Linked DNA regions of Nothobranchius furzeri. The protein of the gene in region 1 purifies or fractionates together with the protein of each later gene. This does not show direct contact. Links are inferred from orthologs where the notes say so. Each region holds a gene or a part of one and is shown on either strand. Other genes may lie near its edges.

Region 1 (4,308 bases):
GCTGCCGTTTGGTGGTGGGTCACGGTAAATGTCGGTGGCAGACCACCTCCGGATCTGCACCTTTTCTTCAGGTCCTGTGTCACGTTAGAAGCTCTTGAACTGAATGGGTTTCTGTGTGTTTTGCGCCCCCTGGTGGATATTTGTGGTTCGGACACCACAACAAAGAGCCCCGGAGTTGTGGCCCGAGCTGATAAACATCCCAATAAAGACACAAAACAGACCCACAGAAAGGACGCGCGATGATATCAGAAAAGAGAAGCGAGCAGACACTAATGGCCTGCCAGGTTCCTCCTCTGTTTAACTGTACACACAAAACTAATGCTGAACCAACCTGCTCTTCCCCTTAAGCACGGGGCTGGCTGGTCAGACTCAAGCCTGATTTATGCTTCTCCGTCTGCGTCAGTGCGGAGACACGCAACGCCATTATCCGTACTTGCGTAGGGCACGCAAGTACGTACGGAGTCGAGCCCACTTTTTTAAACATCCGTCGAACGAGACGGATTACGCAAGCTTGTGATTGGTCAGGATGCCGCTGTTGTTTACAGCGCCGCCATTGCAAAGAGAGCCGAGGATAACTAGCGGCAGACACGGAGAAGCTTGAAGAATACCTCGCGAAAAAACTCTAAAAATATGAACGTTTAATTCTCCCGTGACTGGAGGAGTGAAAAGATGCGCAGCAAGCATTTTATTTGTGGACGGAAAAGACAGGAAACGTGGGTTTAGAGGTGGGGAGCGCATGAAGGGGTGGGAGAATGAGAGACAAATATGTACCTGTTAAAAGTCACTTATATACACAAAAACCACAATATAAACACACGATCTTGGACCGATGCATGACAGGATACCACAGAACAGCGCTACGCCCTCTGTTGTCCTGTCAGGCAATTGCTTTGCAACACTCTCCAGGAGACGGAGAAGTACAAGAGCAAAACGCTTCCGTCAATCCGTGCGTGTCTGTCCCTTGCGGAGCTGACGGAGAAGCATAAACCAGGCTTAACCGCGCTGCAAAACCACCATCACCCAGCCAACAAGTGTGTGTGTGTGTGTGTGTGTGTGTGTGTGCGTGTGCGTGTGCGTGTGCGTGTGCGTGTGTGTGTGTGAGGGGATGGGGTATAAGACTGAACAAGTGGACTAAATGACATTTTCTTTTATAAAGGACAAGTTGCTGTAACTGTACGGGTTTCCTCAGCCAGGCACGTCTGAACCAACCTTTAGAGATGGTCCAACAGCTGAACAACCCGCTTTGTTTGAGGAACGGCTGAAAATCCTGCCAGACAGCGCTCCGGGATTAAATTACGCTCCTTGACAGAATAAACCACGTGACTGAATCTCACGTGACCGCCCTAGGTCTGGTCACGTGACTGCCTCACTCAGAGTTTTTGAACAGTCCAGTTGGATTTTTCCCAGACTGGGGGTGAAATTGGTCCCGTTACCGAAGAAACGGCCGGATAATGAGGTGAGTTTGGACTAATTCAGGCCCTTCCCGCCGTTTGAGCCCGCAGGTGGTGCGTGGTGGGACTATTGTTGTGAAACACGAGGCCTGTAGTCTGATATGAAGTGTTTGCAGGCTGTTGAAGCAAACTCCAGGTTTCTTGTTGCTGTGGGTCTGTGTGACGGTGACCTCCCACCCCTGCTCGTCGTTTTTCTGCCGAAAGTCTCACCGTGTGAGCGGCCAGAATGGAGCGGACCCCGGCTCCCCTCTTTTCCTCACCCCGTATCTGGAAAAGGGCGACATAGACGAAGGTAAAGCACACCTGTGCGTGTAGCTAGCAGCACGTCTCCTCACCCGTGTTTGTGTCTCTCTCCTCAGCCAGGAAGCTGAGTCAGGTAGGAAGCCTACCCGGGCCAAACGTCAAGAGCTATGCAGGATACCTCACAGTCAACAAGAAGTACAACAGCAACCTCTTCTTCTGGTTCTTCCCTGCCATCATGGTAGGTCCAGCTTCTCCTTCTGATCGGAGCTTCCGCAGGTCTCTTCAGCTCAGCAGTTGCATGTGTTTAGTGACAACTTTTAATCAGATGTATCTGATGAATGCGTGTTTGAAAACAACCAAAGTCCTCCAGCAGGACGGAGCGGGAATGTCTCCGGTGATCTTTGTTCTTCCTGATGCGTGATCGATAAATCAGTAACTCGAGCTTTCATCTGTCTGGTCAGCAGCGTAGGAAAGTCACGTGTGCCATCTCACCTGACATCCAGAAAGCAACAAACTGGTGCACAGATAGCACTGCAGATAACAGCAGGTCTCCAGAAACAACCTGGAGCTTCCACTTGGGTTTTTATTGTTTACTGAGCTGAGCTAAGGCTAGTCTGAGTTTGGATGTGTGTGGTGCAGCAGCAGCAGCTCAGGAGGGAGGGGTTCAGGGTGCACGAGTGTCCAACAGCACATGTTTATAAAATGACTTCCTTAGTTCTCCTTTAAGCATAATGTTCACTCTGTCATACAATCTGAGAACCCTGCTGGAACGTTATCACCATGTTTAGATGTCGTTGTGTCTTGTTTGCTATAAACATGATTGTTTTTAAATAAATGGTCACCAGTAAGTTCAAACGTTTGCTGCAAACAAACAAACAAACCGTGTTTGTAGACGACAGGACCGCGTGTGTCCTGCTGATTTTATGGTTTCATTCTGTGTAAAAACAAAAGGAAGTGCAGTCAAATCCGGCTGTTGCAGAACTAAGCCTACCACCAGGTGGCGCTGGTGCGTTAACTTCCTCCCTGACCTGCAGGCGGGCCAGGAGGGGGCTCCGGTGCTGCTGTGGCTCCAGGGCGGGCCGGGAGGGACCTCCATGTTCGGGCTGTTTGTGGAGCACGGCCCTTATGTGGTTTACAAGAATCTGACAGGTAAATGACGTCATCTGTGACGCAGAGTTTTGTTTTGTTGGGATATTTTGGATAAACTCTTGTTTTTCTTTCCCTGCAGTTGGTCTGAGGGACTTCTCCTGGACAAGCAGATACTCGGTTTTGTACATAGATAACCCGGTATGTTTACTCCTTTTATAAACAACAACAAACAGGCTAACGCCACCAGACGGGGCTGAGGTTGCCTCTGTGTTTTAGGTTGGAACAGGATTCAGCTTCACCGAACACGATGGCGGGTTTGCTCAGAACCAAGATGATGTGGGCAGAGATCTGTACAGGTTTGCTTCCTGTCTCGGTTGAAGCACCGCCCCTTTGGCGAGGTGTTTTCTTACCCCGACTTCTCCTCTGGTTTTGTCTCTGTCCTGTAAAAGTGCTCTGACACAGTTCTTCCAGCTCTTTCCTGAGTATCAGTCCAACGAGTTCTACGCCACCGGAGAGGTACCTTTGACCTTTTGGTCCGTGTGGATGAACAGAGCTCTCGAGTTTTGGGTCCTAGCTGACGTTTCTGTGTGTAGTCTTATGCAGGAAAGTACGTTCCTGCTGTTTCCTACTACATCCACAAAAACAACCCCACTGCTAAAGTGAAGATCAACTTTAAGGGCATGGCTATTGGAGATGGACTCTGTGATCCAGAACTGGTGTGTTTCCTGCACCTTACTCATATGATGCTGTTGGTTAAATAAATGCTGTGTTTCTATCCTCACACTCTTTATGCTTTACGGCTGATTTCTTGATTGTGTCTCTAAACAAACCTACGTCTAAGTCTTCTGCCTGAGCGTTCACCGGGGACTTGCCTCTTCTCCCACATCAGATGCTGGGTGGTTACGGCGAGTTCCTGTACCAAACGGGAATGATCGATGAGCTCCAAAAGCAGTACGTGAACAAGCAGACGGACCTGGGTGTGGAGCTCATCCAGCAGCAGAAGTGGGTGGAGGCCTTTAAGGTGAGCCGTGGGAGAATGAGTCAGGGTTGTGCTGTGGTCTGACTTCAGCTGTAAACGAGTCTGCCCTCAGGTGTTTGACTCTTTGCTGAACGGCGACATGGACCCGTATCCGTCCTTCTTTCAAAATGCAACTGGCTGCACGAACTACTATAACTACATGACATGCCAGGTACTGGTTTTCTCCTGTGGTGTGCAACACTTCAGTGTTTTTACACCGCAGCCAGTGTTTCCTATCTAAATGTTCCAGGAGCCTGAGGACCAGGAGTACTTCTCCGAGTTTGTGACCCTGCCTGCCGTGCGACGCTCCATCCACGTGGGCAACCTCACCTTCCACGACGGCTCGGAGGTGGAGAAGCACCTCCTTCAGGATGTGATGAAGAGCATCAAACCATGGCTGGGAGTTCTGATGGACAACTACAGGGTAGGCGGACGTGCAGCATGTCAGTGATGTTTGAGGTGTTCTGGTTCCGCTGGACTTCTTAAACCCGATGATTTGAAAGGTTG
Region 2 (3,815 bases), on another chromosome or scaffold:
GAACTTCCTGGAGGATTAATAAAGCTAATCTGGATCTGAATTATCCTAATCACCTGTTTTTTCTGTGCGTTTGCCTCCAGGTACCCAGTCTGTGTGAGGACCTGCTCTCCTCGGTTGACCAGCCCCTGAAAATTGCTCGGGACAAGGTAGTGGGGAAAGACTACCTGCTCTGTGATTATAACCGAGACGGCGACTCCTACAGGTGGAGTTTAGGAGGACAATTATGTCTGCAGTTTGCAAAGAACACACACACACACACACACACTTTACATGTTTAACCCTTGTGTTATGTTACCTGGAAAATGATTAAAGCTTTCAAAAGTGTTGGACTATTTAGAGATGGTATGATATTCTGATTTTTTTTACCATGAAAGTAGTCATTTGTGGTTTTTGTACATCATATGGAGTCATTAGATGCTGAACATATCCTTTATAGTTGAGCAAAATGATCAATTCTTTAAAAGATATCATCGTAATTGTCTTTTTACAAGCTGAACATTGGCTCAACAAGAACTAAAGATGATTAGTGTAATTTAAGACTTTAAGCCAGACATTAATTTGATCTACCCTCAGGATGTCTGGTTTTTATTTAGCTATTCTCTCTTTTGTATTATGAATGGTCTGATTTGTAAGTTGTAAAACTAATGGGAAACATTTTGCCAACAACATAAAACTACTTTCTCTTTTGGCTCCAAAACTCATCAAGTCTTTTTCTCATCTTGTAAAGATGAGTTTTAATGGTGAGCATTTATTCGTGCACAGTTGTTTAGTGACATCATCCTTCTCCACTTTTATGGACTGATTTAATGATTATATTTTGTGATCCTGATTGGTTGTGCTTCAGCCAGTCTTTAGACCTTTCCTGGTGTTTTTTCTCCCTTATTCTAGAACCGCCTTGACATTCCATTCTGTTACGTGTTCTCCTTTAGATCCCCGTGGAGTAATAAGTATGAACCCCCTATTGAAGATGGAGCCATGCCTTCGGCTCGCTTGAGAAAACTCGAAGTCGAAGCTAATAACGCCTTCGACCAATACAGAGACTTGTAAGTACTAGCAGGGCTGTCCGTCTCAGGATTTCTGCAACGGGCATTCACACTTCATACATTTGCTCTTCAGGTACTTTGAAGGGGGCGTGTCCTCTGTGTACCTGTGGGACTTGGATCACGGTTTTGCTGGAGTAATTCTCATTAAAAAGGCGGGGGATGGATCCAAGAAGATAAAAGGGTGTTGGGACTCTATCCATGTGGTGGAAGTGCAGGTGAGCAGAAACTGGTTTTGTTTCTGACTTTATGGTTTTTAATCTGAGCTTTAATAATTTCCTGTGATGGGAGAATGTTTTATGTTTTAGCAGTTTTTCAAAAGCAAAGTGACCACCAAAAGAAAGGAGAAAGGAGTGTTTGGTTGAGGACACCTGGAAAAAGAAGCACTCTAAAATAAGAAGCAGCCTGATTTTTCAGAGCTTTTTCAAATTCAGAGTTACTGAAGCGATGCTAAAACTGGAGAAATTCTCATGCAACCCAAAAGAACCAGCGTCAACATTCTGGATCAGCTGAAGGCCTCTTTAAAAACCTTTTAAACATCGTGCTAATTGCAGTAAACATGGAGATGCAATAAATGCAAATGAGTTGTTTCTGCATCAGTTTGGTAGCCTGGCCTGTCAGACTCGTCCTCTGCTGAATTCTGCACAGAGAGTCTGGTAACACACAGGCAGAGAGGCACTTGAGGGGTGGGACTAGGCAGCTCAAAAATAACCAATCAGAAAAAAGATGAAAATGCCGACTGTACCGCGCGATGCTGTAGTTTTTAGCTGTGGTCAAAAATAGCATCTTGCAACGACGCAAACATATATATATATGTGTGTGTGTATAGATATATAGATATAGATATATAGATATAGAGATATATATAGATATCTATAGATATATATAGATATCAATATATATATCTAGATGAGATATATATATATATATTTTGAGAGAGAGAGAGAGAATTTTAGTTGTTTTAGAAGAAAGGCTTTTAGTGCTTCTACTTGTGGTTTTAAAGACACGTTCAAGTCATTTAGAACAGAGGAAAGAGCCGCAGCGAACTCCTCTTCAGACGCCATGTTTATGACAAACTCGGCATTGTGGTGTGTGACGTACGCTACTCGGCGCTGATTGGCTCGGTTAGAATTCTCAGAGGGTGGGGTTATTTGAATAGGAGAGTTCCCAGACCTTTTCTCTGTGCAGATTTAAACAGAGCAGGAGTCTGGCAGGCCAGGCTGTCACTCTGGGTCAGGATATTCCAAAAATGTAGCAACAACACGGAAGAAGGCAGTCCTAGCAACATGTTTCTGTATTAGAGCTAAAAGACGGTCCTGATCCACAACACCAAGGTTCCTTGTGATGGTAGAAGACAGGTTAATGTCATCCAGAGGAACCTAATAACTCATTTTGTTCCCAAAGGGCTCGGGTCCATAAATAAGCTCGTCTGCATTTAAAAACAAAATAAAGGTTTTTATGTCTCTTATGTCTTTAAACATGTTTGTAGTCTGATCACGAGGCTTCAGAGATGAAGATAACCATCATCAGCATTTATCCTGTGAGGTCCAAGAGTCTTGGTTCCATCACTGAATCCTGAGGAACTCCATGACTAACTTTACCAAACATTCAGTAGCACATCTGTCCTCTTTATAAAACTATTGTAGCTTGTGTTGGAAATGCCCTAGGGAACATCTAACTGGCCTTGAATGCTCTTCTGGACCAAAGATGCTGGTTCAGTCACCCAAATAGTCATCCAACAGTTCTGACAGATGAGCTGGTTCTGGTCCGTTTTGTTTACATGCTGTTCTGTTGAGTCTTAGTTAGTTTTTCATATAATATTCAAATATTTTTTGTTTGTAGGAGAAGTCCAGTGGTCGCACTGCTCACTATAAACTCACCTCCACTGTCATGCTGTGGCTCCAGACGACCAAGACCGGTTCTGGCACCATGAACCTGGGTGGCAGCCTCACAAGACAGGTGTGTCTCTGCTCTGAACAGCTTGTTCTGTGATGCTGCAGTGGTACTTCAGGTCATTTTATTTTTTACTTGTCTAGATGGAGAAAGATGAGACGGTTGGAGAATCTTCACCCCACATCGCCAACATCGGCCGACTCGTTGAAGTCAGTATCACTTGGAGATATTTAGTGTGAAATAATATTTTACAGGTTATTTGCGGGGTGATGTGGTCATCAGTCATTTTTAGGTCACTCTAACAGTTGTTAATGTCCTGTGTCAGGATATGGAGAACAAGATTCGCTCCACGCTGAATGAAATCTACTTTGGGAAGACCAAGGACATCGTAAACGGCCTAAGGTACGGCTGCTTGAGCTGTCAAGTGATCTGGTATCGGGCTCCTAGTCAGTTCCTCCATAACTGCCTTTTTTAACTCTTATCTGGTGGTTTATTTAAAGCTGACTTTCCCAGTCACATGGGCATGAGTGGTAAACCAGAGGGTTTACTGCTCCCATTACTCAGGTGTGACTTGACGTGGTTAATTATAGGAAGACTTGCAACCTGACTAGAATTGAATGTCAGTGACTTGTGACTCCACTTAGTTCTGTCTAATGACAGGGTGTCCGCGGGGTTTTAAAAAGTATTAAAAAGTGATAAATAAAAATAGTCAAATTTAAGGCCATTAAAAGTGTTAAATTTGGTCTCAGAGGTATTATTTTTTTCCAAGTTAGGTATTATTTTTTTCAGACTATCAGGTGTCGTATTCTGAACATCGACATAGAAATATATTCCGAATGAAATGTTTTGAACGATTATAAAAATAAAACAAGCCGATTATTT

Evidence for each region.
Region 2: the proteins of cpvl (region 1) and capzb purify together in Homo sapiens (affinity purification with mass spectrometry; 3 studies listed by BioGRID and IntAct, with this or other methods). This does not show direct contact. The link is inferred for Nothobranchius furzeri from reciprocal best matches to the Homo sapiens genes CPVL and CAPZB.

Annotation. Positions count from the first base shown.
Region 1 is NC_091745.1:35,785,924-35,790,231, reverse strand, and holds the start of cpvl (probable serine carboxypeptidase CPVL), read left to right. Parts: upstream 1-1,326; 5' UTR 1,327-1,451; coding exon 1,452-1,456; intron 1,457-1,567; coding exon 1,568-1,743; intron 1,744-1,810; coding exon 1,811-1,932; intron 1,933-2,728; coding exon 2,729-2,843; intron 2,844-2,922; coding exon 2,923-2,981; intron 2,982-3,059; coding exon 3,060-3,139; intron 3,140-3,232; coding exon 3,233-3,299; intron 3,300-3,376; coding exon 3,377-3,499; intron 3,500-3,672; coding exon 3,673-3,804; intron 3,805-3,874; coding exon 3,875-3,973; intron 3,974-4,051; coding exon 4,052-4,225; intron 4,226-4,308. UniProt on the Homo sapiens protein: May be involved in the digestion of phagocytosed particles in the lysosome, participation in an inflammatory protease cascade, and trimming of peptides for antigen presentation.
Region 2 is NC_091743.1:46,428,278-46,432,092, forward strand, and holds part of capzb (F-actin-capping protein subunit beta), read left to right. Parts: intron 1-80; coding exon 81-202; intron 203-929; coding exon 930-1,043; intron 1,044-1,116; coding exon 1,117-1,258; intron 1,259-2,882; coding exon 2,883-2,999; intron 3,000-3,076; coding exon 3,077-3,142; intron 3,143-3,258; coding exon 3,259-3,335; intron 3,336-3,815. UniProt on the Homo sapiens protein: F-actin-capping proteins bind in a Ca(2+)-independent manner to the fast growing ends of actin filaments (barbed end) thereby blocking the exchange of subunits at these ends.